Linked DNA regions of Macaca fascicularis. The protein of the gene in region 1 purifies or fractionates together with the protein of each later gene. This does not show direct contact. Links are inferred from orthologs where the notes say so. Each region holds a gene or a part of one and is shown on either strand. Other genes may lie near its edges.

Region 1 (8,611 bases):
CCCAAACTCTGGGTTTCCTTGGGAGTAAGGGCTGCCTCTGGACTACTGTAGTTGCTGAGTTCAGGGGACAATGTTCTATTGGCCTCTGGCACTGGTGTAACATCACCCATAGGGCTCCGTATTGAGGGAAGGAGCAAAGGGCGAGAGGCACGGGGAGTTCAAGAGCCTTTCTGGGACCTTGTGATTCCCAGTGTCACAACTGCCGCAGTTTCACAAAGATTCTTCCAAGTCCCAGAAGCCCCACAAAACCCAAATTCTCCTTCTAGGTGCATCATGTCAGCACTCATGCACACCCAGCCTGCCCCTGCCTCCTGCCCCCATACAGCCTATGGCCCCCCTGCTCTTCTCAGGACCCTAGGCTAGGAGTCTAGCCCCAAGTTCCTAACAAATAATCTTCATCAGATCATCCGAAAGGGGATATTGGGCAGATGTATTTCTCCTACTATCTAAGATGGGGCTTCCAGTAAGAGCTGGGAAGAGGGTCCCCACTGGAGTACTCAAACTCTCCATTCCACTGCTAAAATGGCCATTCTCAAGGTTGCTTCAAGAACTTGCTCCCCCCTGCACTGGGCCAGGCAGACACAACTGGCATTCTTTCGGGATGACTTGGCTCTGAGAAAGAATAGCAACTCCTTTCCCTTCACACTTGCTTTCCTTTCTCCCCGTCCTCTCCCTCCCCCGCTTTTTGTTCTCCTGCAAACAGTCTACTTCCTTGCCACGATTACTATCTTTTCCTGACAGAGTTCAATAAGGCTGGTCCAAAAGAAGAAACCACCACTCAGCTTCCGAAACTCTTCCTGACCGAGCCCTGAGAAGGGCGATAAGGTGCGAGTCTGGAGGGGGTGGAGGCTGGAGAAAAACCAAGAGGCTCCATCCTCTGTTCCGCCATACCAACCCCATCATGTCACACATTTCTCGAGAGCAAGGAAAGGCCGGACGGTGGGAAAGTGGGTGACTAAAGGAAAACTCAGCAGGCATGAAGAGAACCAGACTTTGACCTTGGGCCACCAGAGGAAGAGTCTGAAATCCTTGGGGTCCCTTGGTGGGGTTTCTTGGACTCCCACAGGGGGAGATGCAGCAGTGATGGCTGTGTCTGCTTCTCTGAAAAGATGCGGGCCAGATGAGAAGCCTGAGGTGGGGCCTTGTTTCTAGGAACACTCATTTCTCCAAACTCTCTAGACTTCTTGCCTCCCCCAAGTCTTCCTGCTTCCATTTTGGCCCCTCACAAACCATGCTCTGCATGGTAGCCAGAAAGAGCACTTAGAAAAGGAAAACCAAATCACATCCCCCGAGGGCCTCCCAGCATACTCAGAATCAAACTCTAAGTCCCTGCCCTGACCCAGCAGCCTCTCCTGAGCCTCCCCAGAAAGAGGCCCACCCGGACCCAGAATCCTGTCCCACTGCAGGCTGCAGATGCAGGAAGCGTACGGCAGGAAATGGGGAGGAGAGACAGGGAAGCTCCTGCGCTGGTGTAAGATGCAGAGACGTCTGTAATGAGGCCACCGGGCCTTTCCAGCTTCTAGTTAGGAATGCCTCCCAATAATCATAGAAGGCAAGTTGCTCACATTTTCTTAAAAAGCCTCCAGAGAAGGAGGTCCCACCTTCTTCCTACTTAACTTGGAAACAGTTTGGCAATGATTCCCAACCTTGCCTTTAGGAAGTTATTTCTGAAATCTAACCTTTAACCGCCTGTTGCGATTTGTGTCCTCTGGGGACGGTAGTTACTAGAATGCTCAAGCTCAGCAGACAATGGTGCCTATCTCTGAACTAAGGCAAGGGACGCCACTAACTTCTTAGGGGACCTCAGTTACATCTCTCTTCTCTGCCAGGCAATAGCTCTCCCTTCTCAGGAAGCCTGGAGGTGGGGTGGGGATCTGGCCAGCTCTGACACAAGCTGTGATCTTGAGGCTCTCCTCCCTGACAGCCTGTGCTGGAGGATAAGCCAGGAACTGGAAAGCCCAAGGTGGGGAGAGTTACCTGACTTCAGCGTGCTGGAAGTGCGGGCTGCCGCGGGCACGGTACCGAGGGTCAGTGACAGCAGTGGTGGTCTCATGAGCTAGTACAACGTGAGGGTACTGAGGTGGGGGTCCTCGGGACTCTGGGCCCTCAGCAGGGGGGCCCCTCAGTGGGGGGCCCTGCTGGCTGCGGGCCAGCTGTGGGAAGCTGTGGGAGGAGCTCATGTGGCTGGGGGCCCGGGCGCCGTTCCTCTCCAGGGACAACTGCAGGAGCCGTTCACTCAGGGAGCGCACGTGCCCGTGCCTCAGCTCCCGCAGGGCCTCATCCTGCCTCCGACTGCCTCCGGGGGCCCCACGGGGATCTCGGTCCCCTGCATGTGGCCGGGGCCCCACCTGCTGGGCCGCATAGTACTGCGAGTGGGCTTTGGCCTCCTCATAGGTGGGCAGCTCCTCTCCCTTGCTGGGCTGTGGGCACAGCCGGTAGAGGGTGTTCTCTGCCAGGTGGTTCTCACCGCCCTGGTGCTCCTGGCCCTGGGGCTCCTGCCTGGTGGCTTGCTGCAGCACCTGACTGTCCTCTGGTGCCAGGATCTCCAGGGAGGCCTGGGGGCTCCCTGTGCCCCCAGTTCCTGCCCCACCCCTCAGGGCCTGCTGCTGGATGGCTAGCAGCGTGCGTGTCTCAGTCAGGTTGCCATAGCGCAGCTGCTCCTGGATGAGGCGGTGCAGGACTGTCCCCGAGGAGTCTTCCAGTGTCCTCATGCTTCTCTGGCTTGCACACAGCTGCCTGGACAATGGCCGGTGGCACCTGGCCCCAGAGCACCTAGAGGAGGGTGGGGAGAGAGAGAGACAGAGAGAGAGAAAAGCAATCAGTGGGAGTCCATGGGAAAGGAGAAGGTTTTCCAGGATTTCCATTATTACTCTGGTGGAAAGCACAAAAGTGAAGAGCAGGGGTGGGGCAGGTCACATAAGCTTGGATTCAAGTACCAGTGCTGCTATCTACTGATTAAGACAAGTTATCTAACTTCTGAGCCTCAGTTTCTCCACCAGAAAAATGCAAAGAATTCTGCTTGACTCATGGAGATGAGAATAAAAAGAGGCAGTGGCCTGTGAGCTCCTGGTACAGTGAAAATCCTGGTAAACAATGACTGTGATAACATTCATGGTGACTTACTATTCCTGGAGAGAGACAACAGGAAACCAGAAGATAACGCACCAGGAACCACCGCCCGTACAGCCAGCTACACATCAAACAGCCTGATGGGCAATTCCAAGGCCGGCCTAGTTCAGATCTAACCACTTAGCTATTCAGTCTAGGGGTGGATGGGGCCCCAATTTATTGGCAGGTGATAAAAAATGCATGCAGTCCAGTAGAAAAGCCCTAGGCAAAAGGCCCCCAGGACACTCTACACTGAGGCATGCCAGAGCCCAGCCTTGGCACAATCAACCTACCACCCTCTAGCCCGCTGAACCCCTGCCCACTTTTTTCACTCTCCCTGAACCAGAGAGCTCCTGGAGGATGGGCCTGGACTCTGCTTCATCAAGCGCTGCTGACAGAATGAATCTGGGGCTCCCTGTCATGGGACGACCTTGGCAGTCACTCCACAAGGTTAACAGGAGGAAGGAGGAATTGCACCTGAATTGGTGAATAAGGGATGAATAAAAATGCTCCAAGAGGACAATGGTATTGTGAGATGAGGCAAAAGGGTGCCACCCATTAAGGTTAGTGGGTCAGGCTTTGTGCTGACAGTAACTGCAAGAGAGCTCCAGGAAAAAGAAAGGATGGCATGATGTCTTTGATTTTATGATTATCCTCCCCAACACACACACACACACACACACTTGCTACTTGGAAAAGCCCCCACTGGTCCTCTAGGCACATAGGGGACAGGCACTCAGCATCTTTCTTGACATCAGTGTCAAGGAAGCCCATCTTGACTTGGGCTAACCGGAGAAGTAAGGGGAGGTTGTTGGATGAGAGACCTGGGGCAGAGGAGAGGGGACTGTGAGCCTAAAGTGCTCGGAGATAATATCAGAGAAAGGATTTCCCTTCTAAGTCTGGGCTCCCAGTGGCTCATGGACTGGAAAGCTGCCTGCCTCTCTCACCCAGCTTCCTTTCCACAGCCTCTTCCAACACAAATCTCCAAACTGGGTTCCAGGGAAAACTAAACAGAATCCACACTGCCACAGGTCCTGTGTGTGTGGGCAGCGATTGGGGGATGGGTGGGAGGAATGTGGCCCCTCCTCTGCCACTAAACTAGCCCTAGTGTCCTGCTTCAGTTTGGGCTATGGCATGTTAGCAGAGCAGTCATTCCCAATCGTTCCCTTCTCCCCACCCCAGGGCTACAGCTGCCCAGAGGTGGGGAGTGGGGGATGAGTCTGGAGGGCACCTCTGTACCCATCCTTCCTGGCACCGAGTCATGCACTCCCCCCCGCCCCCGCACACAACGAGGGGTAGATGTGCAAGACTCCGGAGCTACCCGAGGCAAAGCAAGCAAATGGGATTCAATTCGCATGGGATTCAGTTCGCCCTGGAGTTTTATCTGCGGGCATTTCCTAAGATAATCACTCTCTGGGCCGACTCCCACAGAGGCAGGGGAGCGGCAGGAAGGAATGCGGAGCCTTCCCGACAGATTCCAGGCGCTCCACAGTGTGCCCGGACTGGGAGCAAGGAACACCTCCAAGGCCTCTCATCGCGAATTTGTCCCGGCCAAGCCCCTCAGATTCACGTCCTTTCAGACACCAAACGCCTGAGCCTTTACTAAAACCTGCTTCCTCGCCCCCGGCCGCGCCCCTCTGCTGCGCTCTCAGAAGGCCGCCTTTCTAAGCCAGCGCGCGTCTCCAGCCTTGGCCTGGGGTCCCGCTCGCCTAAGGAACCAAAGTGACAGTCTCCAAGCTAGGAGACTCTCGCACCCCAGCCAGGGCTCCCGCCCCACCACGAGCCCGGGCGGACCTGGAGCACCGAAGGTCGCTGGTACGCCTGGGGCGAGCCGGTGAGGGTAGCCCGAGGCCCGGAGAGGTCTTTAAGCATCGCGGGTCCGCCTCCCTCCTTCTCGAGCCCTCTTTGTTTTCCAAATACTCTAACGCTGACGTCACCGGGCTGGACAGCAGGCTGCATTCTTTCTAAGTGAGAGCCAATTCGTGGCTCCAGAGAGGATTTTCCAAGGAAGACAAAGAGGAATTCTTGGACTGGTTGGGGGCAAAGGCACCTGTAACCCCCACCTAACCAAATCAGCCCGCAAGACCCTGCAACTTGAGCTCCAAGCGGCGCCTCCATCCCTGTCCCCCGCCACCCCCACCCCAGCCGACCCGCAAACCGAAACACCGTCGCTCTTCTCTCCGGAGTCGGCCTGCTCCCCTCTCCCCCAGCCCCAAGGGACCCGCGCGCTTCTAGAGCCCCGCAAAGCCCAGGGCGCTGGGCTCCCCGCGTGGAACGGCTCTTGCCCAGCACTGCGGCTGCCTCGAAAGGGCGCACTGCGCCCCGAGGACGCTCGATCCTCGGGGCTCCGACTCCCGGAAAAGGCCGGGCTGCGCGGAGACTACAGCTTTGGCTGGGGCACGTTTCTGTGGCCTCGCGCGCTCTCCCGAGCGCGGAGCAGCCTTCCTTACCGCTGCGGCCCGAGGGTGCCCGGCGCAGTCAGACACCACAACCTCCTGGTCTGCGCGGCTCAGCTCGGCGGCGGAGATGTGTTCTCGGCCGTGGCGCCGACGCTCTGGCTGTTCGCGCCCCAGCGCGCAGTCCCAGGGTCGGCCCGCGCCGGAGGCGGCTGCTATGCCAGGAATGTGAGAGTTTCAGGTTCCCCCTCGGGATCAAAGCGAACCACAAATAACCTCTCAGCGCGCCGCCCTCCTCCGCCCTCCGCCTCCTCCCGCTCCCTCCTCCCGGCCCCCGCCTTCCTCCGGGGAGGCGGCGCTGCTGGCTGAGCGCCGGGCCGGCCCCCGAGCTCCGTTCCTCCTCGCCCAGCGCCCTCCAGGCCGCGCTGTGTCCGCCCCTGCCCCCCCGTTTTGCCTTGGGAGCTGCTGGAGACAATTTAATCCAACTCGGCTTATTATCGTCTCTACTCCCAGTCGCCGACCCGCTCTCACCCTTCATCCCTAAACCTATCGACGGGACGACAGCAAGGGCTGTACCACGCGTGTCCCGAGGTTGCTGCGGGAGGGGGCTCCGGCTGTGTGTGTGTGTGTGTGTGTGTGTGTGTGTGTGTGTACCGGGGGAGGGGGGAAAAGGAGGAGGGACTGCAAAGACATCCATATCCTCTGGGCTGGGAGAGTGCCCCGGGCGAAGTGAATGCTTCTAGCCACCCAGCCTCTTTCCCCTAACTCCCGCTGCTTTCACCCCCAGCGGCAACTTTTGAATTGCAGTTGTGTTTACAAACACCTTTGCCAGCTCTTTTACGACCTGTCTCCACAGGAAGTGTGAATCTGGGTTGGAAAATCCGGTCAATTTGACCCACCTACCCAACTTAATCACCCGTCGTCAGGCGCTCTGTCCAATTCTTCCCCAAGGTGATAATAGGCGCCCCTTTACTCAGAGCGCAAGGTGTGCCACCGTTGGCTTTTCGCCCAGCCATCCGATTCAGCCCTGCCAAGCCACCCTTCAACGGCGTTCTGTTATCATTCCTGTGTTATAAATGAGGACACCAGGGCTCAGAGAGCTTAAGCAGCGTGTCCAGAGTCACACACAGCGAGAACCAGGTAATCAGCCACGGGGCTGCTTGGTTTCTTATTCTCAGAACCCCTCCCTGGCTATCAGAATCCAGGCTCCCTAGATGAACAGGGCAGACGCTGGGAGCCCTCCTCTATTCACCTGCCCTGTCCTTGTTTTAGTCTCTTTTTTACCTCCCCATACACCCCTGCCAGCCAGGGGGTTTCCCTTGTACCCACTTCGGTGGCTCCTGCGTGGAATCCTCTCCTCTGCCCCCAGGACACTTCCTCTGCTAGGTGGAAACTCCTTCTTCAGAAAGCCTGCTCTGACACACTCTCCCCGTCCCCGCCACACAAGGCCTCTCTACAAGTCAGTTGGGGTGAGGTGGGGGCAGTCGGGCCCTGTCCACCAGGATAGTCAGGGCTGATTTCTACCCCTGGCTAGGTCCTCCCCTCAATATGGAGTTTGCAAGTCCCAAATTCACTGGAGGCAACCAAGGACAAGGAAACTCTGCAAGCTTAATTGCCAGGGACATTGTTAATTTTTAACGAAACTCACAAAAAGTGTGTGTGTGTGTGTGTGTGTTTTACTTAGAAGCCAAACACTGTGTTTCAAATAGTGATTGAATCTGAGATGATTGAGCAAATGGATCATTTGTGCCAAGCTAAGGGATATTTGGCTTTCCAAGGATCCCCTTACAAAGAGAAGCTGTGATCAGTATACCGCTGTAGGTAGGACTTTTAGAAGTGAAAGGAAAGAGGTATCTGAGTGGCCTTACCTTATGGACAGTATAACTGGTGGAGGCAGGGGAGTGGTTGTGGACATGTGAACTCTGGGGCTGTAAAATCGGGGGAAACACGGCATGGTACAGTCCTGTCTTTCAGGCATTTGGGAGGATGCCTGACAAAATGTTTGACAAATATTCTTGAGATGGTTGCAGAAGGGCGTCAGTTCAAGGCAGCTAGAGTGGAGGAGGTACCTTGGAGCCGACAAGCCTGCTGCGGAGGCACACAGGCACCCATGATTGCTAATTTCTGTCCCCAAAGGGACAGAAGCGGGAGAGGGATCCCAAAACCTAAATGAGAAATGTGCATGTACTTTTATTTTTCCTTTCCCTTTCTCTCTGCAGAAAGAACGGAGGGCACGATCTCTCAGGCACGGGCTGCTGGGAGGCTCCGTGGAACCTGCCTAAGCTGGTGGCCATCCCAGCTCTGCAGGGTGGTTGGTTGAGAAGGTGACCACCGTTGAGATGTGCCAGAGGCAGGTATGCACAGGGGACGCTGGGCGGGCCAGGCTGCTTGCCTACGAATCTATCTTCGCTTACAGCAGAGGGGAGAGAGGCTTCTTAGTGAGCCAGTGCTTTCTTCTTCCACTTTTGTCTCAGTCTACTTTGTCCCTTTCTCCTTTACCTCCTCTCTTCCTCCTGCAGGTTATGATTCTTCCCAGATGACAATGTGGCTGACTGGGTCAGGAATCCTACCCAGGAAAGATGCGGAGGTGACCTAATTCTCAGAGTAAGCCAGGCTGGAGGCCTTTGCTCTGGGAAGTGTAGCTCCTTGGGGTGTGGCTGTATCATAGGTGTGTACATGGCTTAGCAAGGGATTCAGGCACCCACACCATCGCCTCTCCCTAGCCCGGGTCTGGGTCTGGGCCTGGTTTATGTCCTCAGTCTGGCCCTGCAGCTGCATCTCACTGCACCCAACCAGAACATGAAAGTGAGCTCTTGGTGGGACCCTAGTAGCCTCCTCTCATACAGCTGGGAAGGAAATGTTCCCCTTACTTCCCAAATGCTTGCTTAGTGGAGGAGAGCTCCAGGGTGCAGGTGGCAAGATCAAAGGATGACTGTTAGTTATGAAATTCACTTTTCCAGCTTCCTCTGGACACTCCCTCTGACAGGTTATGGGAACAAGAAGCCTACTGGAGCACGAAGCAAATTCATAGGAAGAATCTGAACATTAGGATGGAAGTTCTAGTGCTCCAGTTCCAAGAGCAGAAGACCCAAGTGGGGGACTTTCTT
Region 2 (7,944 bases), on another chromosome or scaffold:
GTAATGAATACGTTTGTGCATAATTACATTCCATGTGTTAATGAGGTCAATTCGCTTTCCCTTCCACACTTCTAAAGTTCCTTTCTGTTTCAGAAGGTTGTGGAAGAAAACAAGCTGAATATAATGGAAGGAACCAGTATGACTTACTGAAAAACTCAGACAAATGTGATCATATAAATGAAACTAGCCTTTAGTGAAAGGCAGGGCTTGCTACCCAAAGACCTCCCTCACGCTAGACAGTGAGAGGCAAGTGCAATGTGCTAACTTAGGCAGCCTGGACACCAGGGTTCCCATCCCAGCTCCACTCATTCCATTTGGCCTGAAATCCTCTCCATCGAGAAGTGGGCTATAAATTTCATCAAAATAGGCTTAACATAAAAGTATTGTGAGTTTGGACAAATCACAAATTCCTTTCTGAGCCTTATATTCCTCATCTGCAAAACAGGCATAATACTCTCAAGCCTTGGCTTCCGGAAAGACTACACTGAGTGCCACACAAAATATTCATTTGTATTGCTTTGGTAAAACTAGAAAACACTATGGGCAAGTGAGATCTTATTAATATTATAATCAGATATCCTTTAACTATTAATCAGCAGTCCTAGAAACTGGAAGCATGTCATAGTAAGCCTTAGTTTCCCAAATGAAGACTTTAAGCCATAGATTACCTTTATTTGTAAGATCCTTAAAATTTACACCGGAAAAAATAGCTAGAACATCCTCCTCCATGTGAGCCACATATGTTGTCTGTGAATCACTTTCATCTCCAAATTAGTAGGATCCAAATTAGCAGGGCTTTCCTACAGTGAAATCTGTTTAAGCAAACATCTGCTGGTTCCCTGAAAAGTGATTTTTTTCTACAGGTGGCCTTTGAATTTGTGGCCCAAAAATCCATGGAAAGAAAATATAGCCTTTGAGATGGAAGCCCTTCAAAGAGAGGTGGTGTCCTTGAGAGCCCGGGTCTACTCTCACTGGGGAGAAAGTGTGTGAAAAGGAACTCAACTCCAGGCTAGGAAGTGCTCGGATTTAATCAAAGTGCCAATAACTGCTTCATCACTGTCGGGGTGATACTGATTGAAAGGACACATTTTTCCTCTTGCTAATATTCTTGATCAAAGCATAAAAGGAAGCATATGTTTTAGTTGAATGAGGGCCCATTTTCTGTTTTCTCAATTACTCATTTTTCAGGGAAGTAGAATATGGGAGGCACAAAATGCAATCCCAAAGCCATGAATTCCGCCCTTCTGCCCTTAGCTTTGCCCAAGATTGTCTGAATGACCTTGGGCAAATCACTGACGGCAGATACTTGCTTTAGTGCCTGCCTATGAGACGGTCAACTACTCCCATGCTCCCTCCCCACCCCGGGCCTGGTGAATACTCAGCAAACATTACATGAGCCACCAAATGATTAAATTGACTTTAGTGCTTCTGTTGGTCTGACCAGCACATATAGCCTTTTCCCCCCTACAAATGACAGTTACTTCCTGGCTTTCATCTGAAATTGCATTAATCTACCCCAAAAAGTGAGCTAAGAGTATTTTATTAATTTTTCTAACCGTATAGGGAAATGACTTCATGAACACCTATAATTAAAAAGAAAAATAAGTGAAAAGATTATGTTTTAAAATCACACAAGTAAGGCTAGGCGTGGTGACTCACACCTGTAATCCCAGCACTTTGGGAGGCCAAGGTAGAAGGATCACTTGAGCTCAGGAGTTTGAGACCAGCCTGGGCAACATAGTGAGACCTCATCTCTATAAAAATAAAAATAAAACATAAATAAAATAAAATCACACAAATAATCAAGGAGTCCCAATTCTGGGGACAACATCTTGTGCTCTGGTGAAAGGCAGGGAGCAGGGAAACCAAGAGAAGGTGATATATGACTGAAGTGAAAAATCTGAGGGACATGAAACACCCTGGCTGACTCTCTCATTGGTCTTGTTAAAAAAAAAAAAAAAAAAAATGTCTAGGCCGGGCGCGGTGGCTCACGCCTGTAATCCCAGCACTTTGGGAGGCCGAGGTGGGCAGATCATGAGGTCAGGAGATCGAGACCATCCTGGCTAACACGGTGAAACCCCGTCTCTATGAAAAATACAAAAAATGAGCTGGGTGTGGTGGTGGGCACCTGTAGTCCCAGCTTCTTGGGAGGCTGAGGCAGGGGAATGGTGGGAACCCAGGAGGCGGAGCTTGCAGTGAGCTGAGATTGCGCCACTGCACTCCAGCCAGGGTGACAGAGTGAGACTCCGTCTGGGGGGGGGAGGGGGAAAAAAAAGGTCTACAGTGGTTTAATGGAAGTCAACGATTTTCAGCTAACCAGACAGCTCAATTGGGCCTGGTGGGCCACAGCACCTGCAGTGCTCAGCCACATGAACAGCTAGCATGTCAATCAGGGGCAGATGAAGCAGGGCATTCTCTTGAGGGTGTAGTGTAGTGTCACACAGGGCAGCCGGTTCACAAATGAGTTCGGAGTGAGGACCTGGGCCTTTCTGACTTAAAGGCCATGTTTGGCTAAAACTGGAGACCACAAATTCATTTTTCCTGGCTAATAGAAAGGTTGTACCACATGGTTGAGTTTATGGTAAAAAGAAAAAAGGTTTGTCCAGTAAATGTCATAAACCACATGTACATAATGAGATTACACAGAAAATTCATCTTGCTGAATGAATTCACTTAGAATGAATTCTAATTCATTAGAATGATACTTATAATTTGTGCACATCACACACACACACGATCATACAAACACTGGAACAGCGACAGTGGTTCTCCCAAGTCCACAAGTCCCATAACATCTCACTTTCTGGGGCAAGTCTCTCTGAAGTACAGAAAACCCAAAGAAAGACAAGATAGGAGTGATCCCATAACCCAAATTAACCCCCAGGAAGAATACATTTTCCTTCTTTGAGCCTACCTTGGCCTGGACGGCGTAAGAAGCCAGGAGCACAGAAGCCTCGGGAGGGCAGTAGATCTTTTCATCTAAAATCTGCTTCTTTACCTGAAAGGAGCAACAAGGGGGACATGATACTGTGTGCGTGGAAGTGAGGTGTATAGGCTGATCACAACAGATGGCTGCACGGCATTCTAATGAGGGCTGCCAGAGGAGCCTGTTAATAATTTTCTGACAAAGGATACAATATTTTTTTACTGATGCAGACAGGTGGAGAGTTCAGTCACAGAAGTTACTGGTATGACGGCTACGCATAAAAACCCCCTTACCTCTTCTCTTCATGATCAATGCTGAAGAGTAAAAATGGTCTCTGTAGTTACAATAGAGGCTGTGTGACAGAGCACCATGAACCCAAGAAGTGTCAAGAGCAGCTCTGGGGGTGACTGCAGCCTCAGTCCCTTTGAATACACACGGTCCCAGAGGAAATGGATCTACTTTTAAGTATTAACACAAGACAAAAGTCACCAAGGCCACTGAGTTATGACTGCAGAAAAAAACCATCACTCTCAACATGCTGCTCTAAGGGAAAAGGAAGCAATAAAATTTGATCGATTCAACTTTTAAGTACACGTGAGGTCCAGGAAATATAATTCTTAAGCCATAATGTTGAATTAACATATTTCATTGCACTTGATTTTCTTAGAATGGTGCAACTTGGCATGTTCCAGACACAGAAGCAAGACAACGGCATGACGTGGTAGGGGGGACATTGAAATAAACACAACAGGAAAGCCAGCTCTCCTCTCACAGATATCAACAGTCACCGGATTCATAAAAGCAGTAAATTTTGCCTTGCTCAGTCATAAAAATGCCTTAACATTTCAGTATAGGGAAAATCAAGCCAAAGTCACACAAGAGACAGGCAGTGCTTCCAAGTGCTTACAAGAAAGCCATTTCTACAACATTAGGACATTCTGGGACCTAGGAGATGGTTATGTGCTTTCGTTCAAACACAAAAATTCTTCTCAGGTTTTAAAAGCGATTTTACATTCTTAAGAGAGAAAATGAAACCTGAGATGTTTCTGAAGCAGTGAAACTTTCTAATCCCTTGGTTTCATTTCCAAAGAGAGGGGGAAAAAAGCAACACTATAGAAAAACTGAAAGAGTGTCCCTTTTTTTTTTTTGAGAAGGAGTTTCGCCCTTGTTGCCCAGGCTGGAGTGCAATGGTGCGATCTCAGCTCACTGCAACCTCCACCTCCTGAGTTCAAGCAATTCTCCTGCCTCAATCTCCCGAGTAGCTGGGATTACAGGCGTGTGCCACCGTGCCCGGCTAATTTTGTATTTTTAGTAAGGACGGGGTTTCTCCAAGTTGGTCAGGGTGGTCTCAAACTCCTGACCTCAGATATCTGCCCGCCTTGGCTTCCCAAAGTGTTGGGATTACAGGCGTGAGCCACCACGCCCAGCCTAAGAATGTCCCTTTGATTTGAAAACATCTGAAATAAATTTGTCACCTCTTTTGCGTGCGCACGCACACACACACACACACCCCAGACCTTTTTAAAAAAGAATTTAGGGGGTCTTATTATATTTAACTTAATATTTGCTAAACACAATATACTGAGGCTGAAATTAATTACAGGAGGGCTATGTGACAGACTACCCATCTATCTCTGGGAAATCACGTAATTAACGCCCCTACTGCCATCTTTTACATTACTGAAACCTTTGAGCACACAAATAGCCCCCGTGCCAATCACTGAAACTGGCCATGAAACTGGGGGACCACTCTGACCTGCAGTAAGAACATAAGTGAAACTGATAAGGTTTTCATCCTCAGACCAGTTCCCCTCCCTGTGCCTCTGAATGGTCAACTTGTAATTATGAATTTCCTAATTTCTTCAATTCGGTTGGACAATTACTTATGGAATGCCTACTGTGCACTTAATGAGCCTTGCCTTTAAGGGGCTTACAATCTAATGAGGAAGTAAGGAAGAAACAGGACAATTAAGGACACAGCATAGCATGAAGCATGATGTCTGAAGTACCACATATGGGGGACAAACTGAGTGTCACTAGAACTCTGAAGTTTTCTCTTTTTTTTTTTAGACAGAGTCTCACTCTGTCACCCAGGCTGGAGTGAAGTGGCTCAATTTTGGTTCACTGCAACCTATGCCTCCTGGGTTCAAGTGATTCTCCTGCCTCAGCCTCCTGAGTAGCTGGGATTACAGGCATGGGCCATCACGCCTGGCTAATTTTTGTATTTTTAGTAGAGATGGGGTTTCACTATGTTGGTCAGGCTGGTCTCGAACTCCTGACCTCGTGATCCGCCCACCTCAGCTTCCCAAAGTGCTGGGATTACAGGCATGAGCCACCATGCCCGGCTGAAGTTCTCTCTTAATGAGAGCGGATTTTAAACTTTCGGAAGAACTACTGCTTTATACGACTCTCTCTTTAGCCTTCCTTTGAAACGATTGAGTACTTTTAAGTTAGCTAGAAGAAAACAGGATCCATTTTCAAGGAGATTTTAAGTTAGGTAGCTACTTGTATCCATTCTTCACCATCACACCTTCACAATTTCATCTGACACCAATTTTCATCACTCAAGTATAGTTCTGTTCTGAAGACTTTTTTCCATTACAGAACCAAAGGAGCTGACTTTCCAGAGGTAGAATATTTTTGCAATACAAAGGTGTTTGTGGTCAACTCTGAGGCCAACTCTGCAACCATTCCTGGGCAAGTTCTCTCAGAACTGGGGGGTAGCCTGGACTGATGTACCTGCAAGAAGAATAAATGTTGTGTGATCTCCTGAACCAGCTCCTCTTCAGCATTCTCAGGATAAAATTTGGCCAGGAAGTGAAAGGTGACTGGTTCTTCCTTTGAAACATCATGATCCAGTACCTGCAGAATTGCAGAGCAAAAGACAAACACACTATATTGGCACTTCTTCCTCCTGTGCTACCCTCAAAGAAGCTTTTGCAAGGTGTGCATTAAATTCTTTTCCCACTAAATTTATCACATTTCCTGAAAGTTGTGATTCTACAGTTTGAAGCATTCACAAAGTCATAAAGAGGTAATATTCACTTCCCATGGTGTTTCTGAAACAAATTAATCAATAGCCCCAAGAAGTGAGCAGAGCTAGGATTAAGGCATAAATGTTCTCAGGGCCACAGAATAGTTAAAAACTAGAAATTTATCACTCAGTAGTCTTGGGCACTGTCCTTATAGTAAGTGGAAGGTTTTTTAATTATCTGAAGTAGTGGAATCTTCCTTTATTCTTTTTTCTTGCTGCCTACTGCCAATATTTAGGTCCAGGTTAGAATACGGCTTAGAGGGCCGGGCCGGTAGCTCACACCTATAATCCCAGCACTCTGGGAGACCGAAGCGGGTGGATCACTTAAGGTCAGAAGTTCAAGACCAGCCTGGCCAATACGGTGAAACCCCACCTCTACTAAAAATACAAAAGAATTAGCCAGGTGTGGTGGTGGAAGCCTGTAATTCCAGCTACTCAGGAGGCTGAGGCAGGAGAATCTCTTGAACCCGGAAGGTGGAGGTTGCAGTGAGCCGAGATTGCGCCATTGCACTCTAGCCTGGGCAACAAGAGCAAAACTCTGTCTTAAAAAAAAAAAAGAATACAGCTTAGAGATGATGAACTAGATCATTATGAAATCATCTAAACATTAACTGAGCAACAGAAGCAAAATGTGTCCATCATGGCAACCCTTTGTTTCAAGGAACCTCCAGAGATGCCCCACAAAATACTTGAAGCACAGTCTGTAAACCGCTGCCTTTAATCTTCTAACAATTCCATTCACCCCTGTAAAGCTTGAACCGTCTGCTCTCCAGAGTGAATTTCAAGACACAAACATGCCATGTGACAGGCTACAAGGCTCCATTAACATGTGTCGTAATGGGCCGGGCGCGGTGGCTCAAGCCTGTAATCCCAGCACTTTGGGAGGCCGAGACGGGCGGATCACGAGGTCAGGAGATCGAGACCATCCTGGCTAACACAATGAAACCCCGTCTCTACTAAAAATACAAAAAATTAGCCGGGCGAGGTGGCGGGCGCCTGTAATCCCAGCTACTCGGGAGGCTGAGGCAGGAGAATGGCGTAAACCCGGGAGGCGGAGTTTGCAGTGAGCCGAGATAGTGCCACTGCACTCCAGCCTGGGTGACAGAGCGAGACTCCGTCTCAAAAAAAAAAAAAAAAAAAAAAAACATGTGTCATAATGTATTTCCCTTGAGCAGCAAGTTCCATGGCTCCTGGTGCCCCCACTCAGCTATGATTAAAATTCACTTTGCTAAGAATCATGAAAAATATACAAAAAGTTTTGCTGTCTTTGACACATAACTCTCCATGCTCCTGCCCAAATTCTAGATGGCAATGCCAAGGAGATTCAAAATCTGGTCTATGATACCCTCACTGACAATGGCCCCCAGTGGCACTTAGATGCTCATGATTATTGGGAATTACCATTGAACTTACAACCAGCAGGGATTCTAACGTGATGATTTAGATTACTGTGTACATATGTGAACACAATTTGAACACTTAAGCTTTGAGTCAAACTGGTAAAAAAAAAAAAAAAAAAAAAAATAGAAAGCCTTCATTATTTATCATGTTCAGGTAGGCAACTGAGGGGGCATCATTTGGAGTAAGAATTAGACATTGACTTACTTTGAAGTTCAGGTGTCTTTTAGGAGTTACTGACAAAAGCATACAGTGCTACTCCCTACCTGCTTTTCATGGCTAGGTAGGCAGGTCAGTAAGCAAGTGTATCTCTGTGTGAATATATGAACCCATGCGGAGGGCAGTTCCCTTAGGCAATATTCATTTCCAAGCCACATTAAAATTGCCAGGAGCCCAGCTTGCTTTGCCATGCTTCAGAAGCCCCAGAGAATCCTGAGGACAAAACGGACATTCTTTCACCCTGGGGACCAGGCACTCTCTATTCCTTAGATAATATTAATGATTAATTCATGTCAGACTATGGTGTTTCTCAAAAAGACTTTTAAAAATTTCCTAAAGAACACAAGCCCCAATACTCTCCAAAAGA

The links. The genes of interacting proteins can lie anywhere in the genome.
Region 2: the proteins of AMOTL2 (region 1) and NF2 purify together in Homo sapiens (affinity purification with mass spectrometry; 5 studies listed by BioGRID and IntAct, with this or other methods). This does not show direct contact. The link is inferred for Macaca fascicularis from reciprocal best matches to the Homo sapiens genes AMOTL2 and NF2.

What each region holds. Positions count from the first base shown.
Region 1 is NC_088376.1:37,278,420-37,287,030, forward strand, and holds the start of AMOTL2 (angiomotin-like protein 2), read right to left. Parts: upstream 5,665-8,611; 5' UTR 4,903-5,664; intron 2,773-4,902; 5' UTR 2,712-2,772; coding exon 1,978-2,711; intron 1-1,977. UniProt on the Homo sapiens protein: Regulates the translocation of phosphorylated SRC to peripheral cell-matrix adhesion sites. Required for proper architecture of actin filaments.
Region 2 is NC_088384.1:22,027,914-22,035,857, forward strand, and holds part of NF2 (merlin), read right to left. Parts: intron 5,789-7,944; coding exon 5,666-5,788; intron 2,999-5,665; coding exon 2,915-2,998; intron 1-2,914. UniProt on the Homo sapiens protein: Probable regulator of the Hippo/SWH (Sav/Wts/Hpo) signaling pathway, a signaling pathway that plays a pivotal role in tumor suppression by restricting proliferation and promoting apoptosis.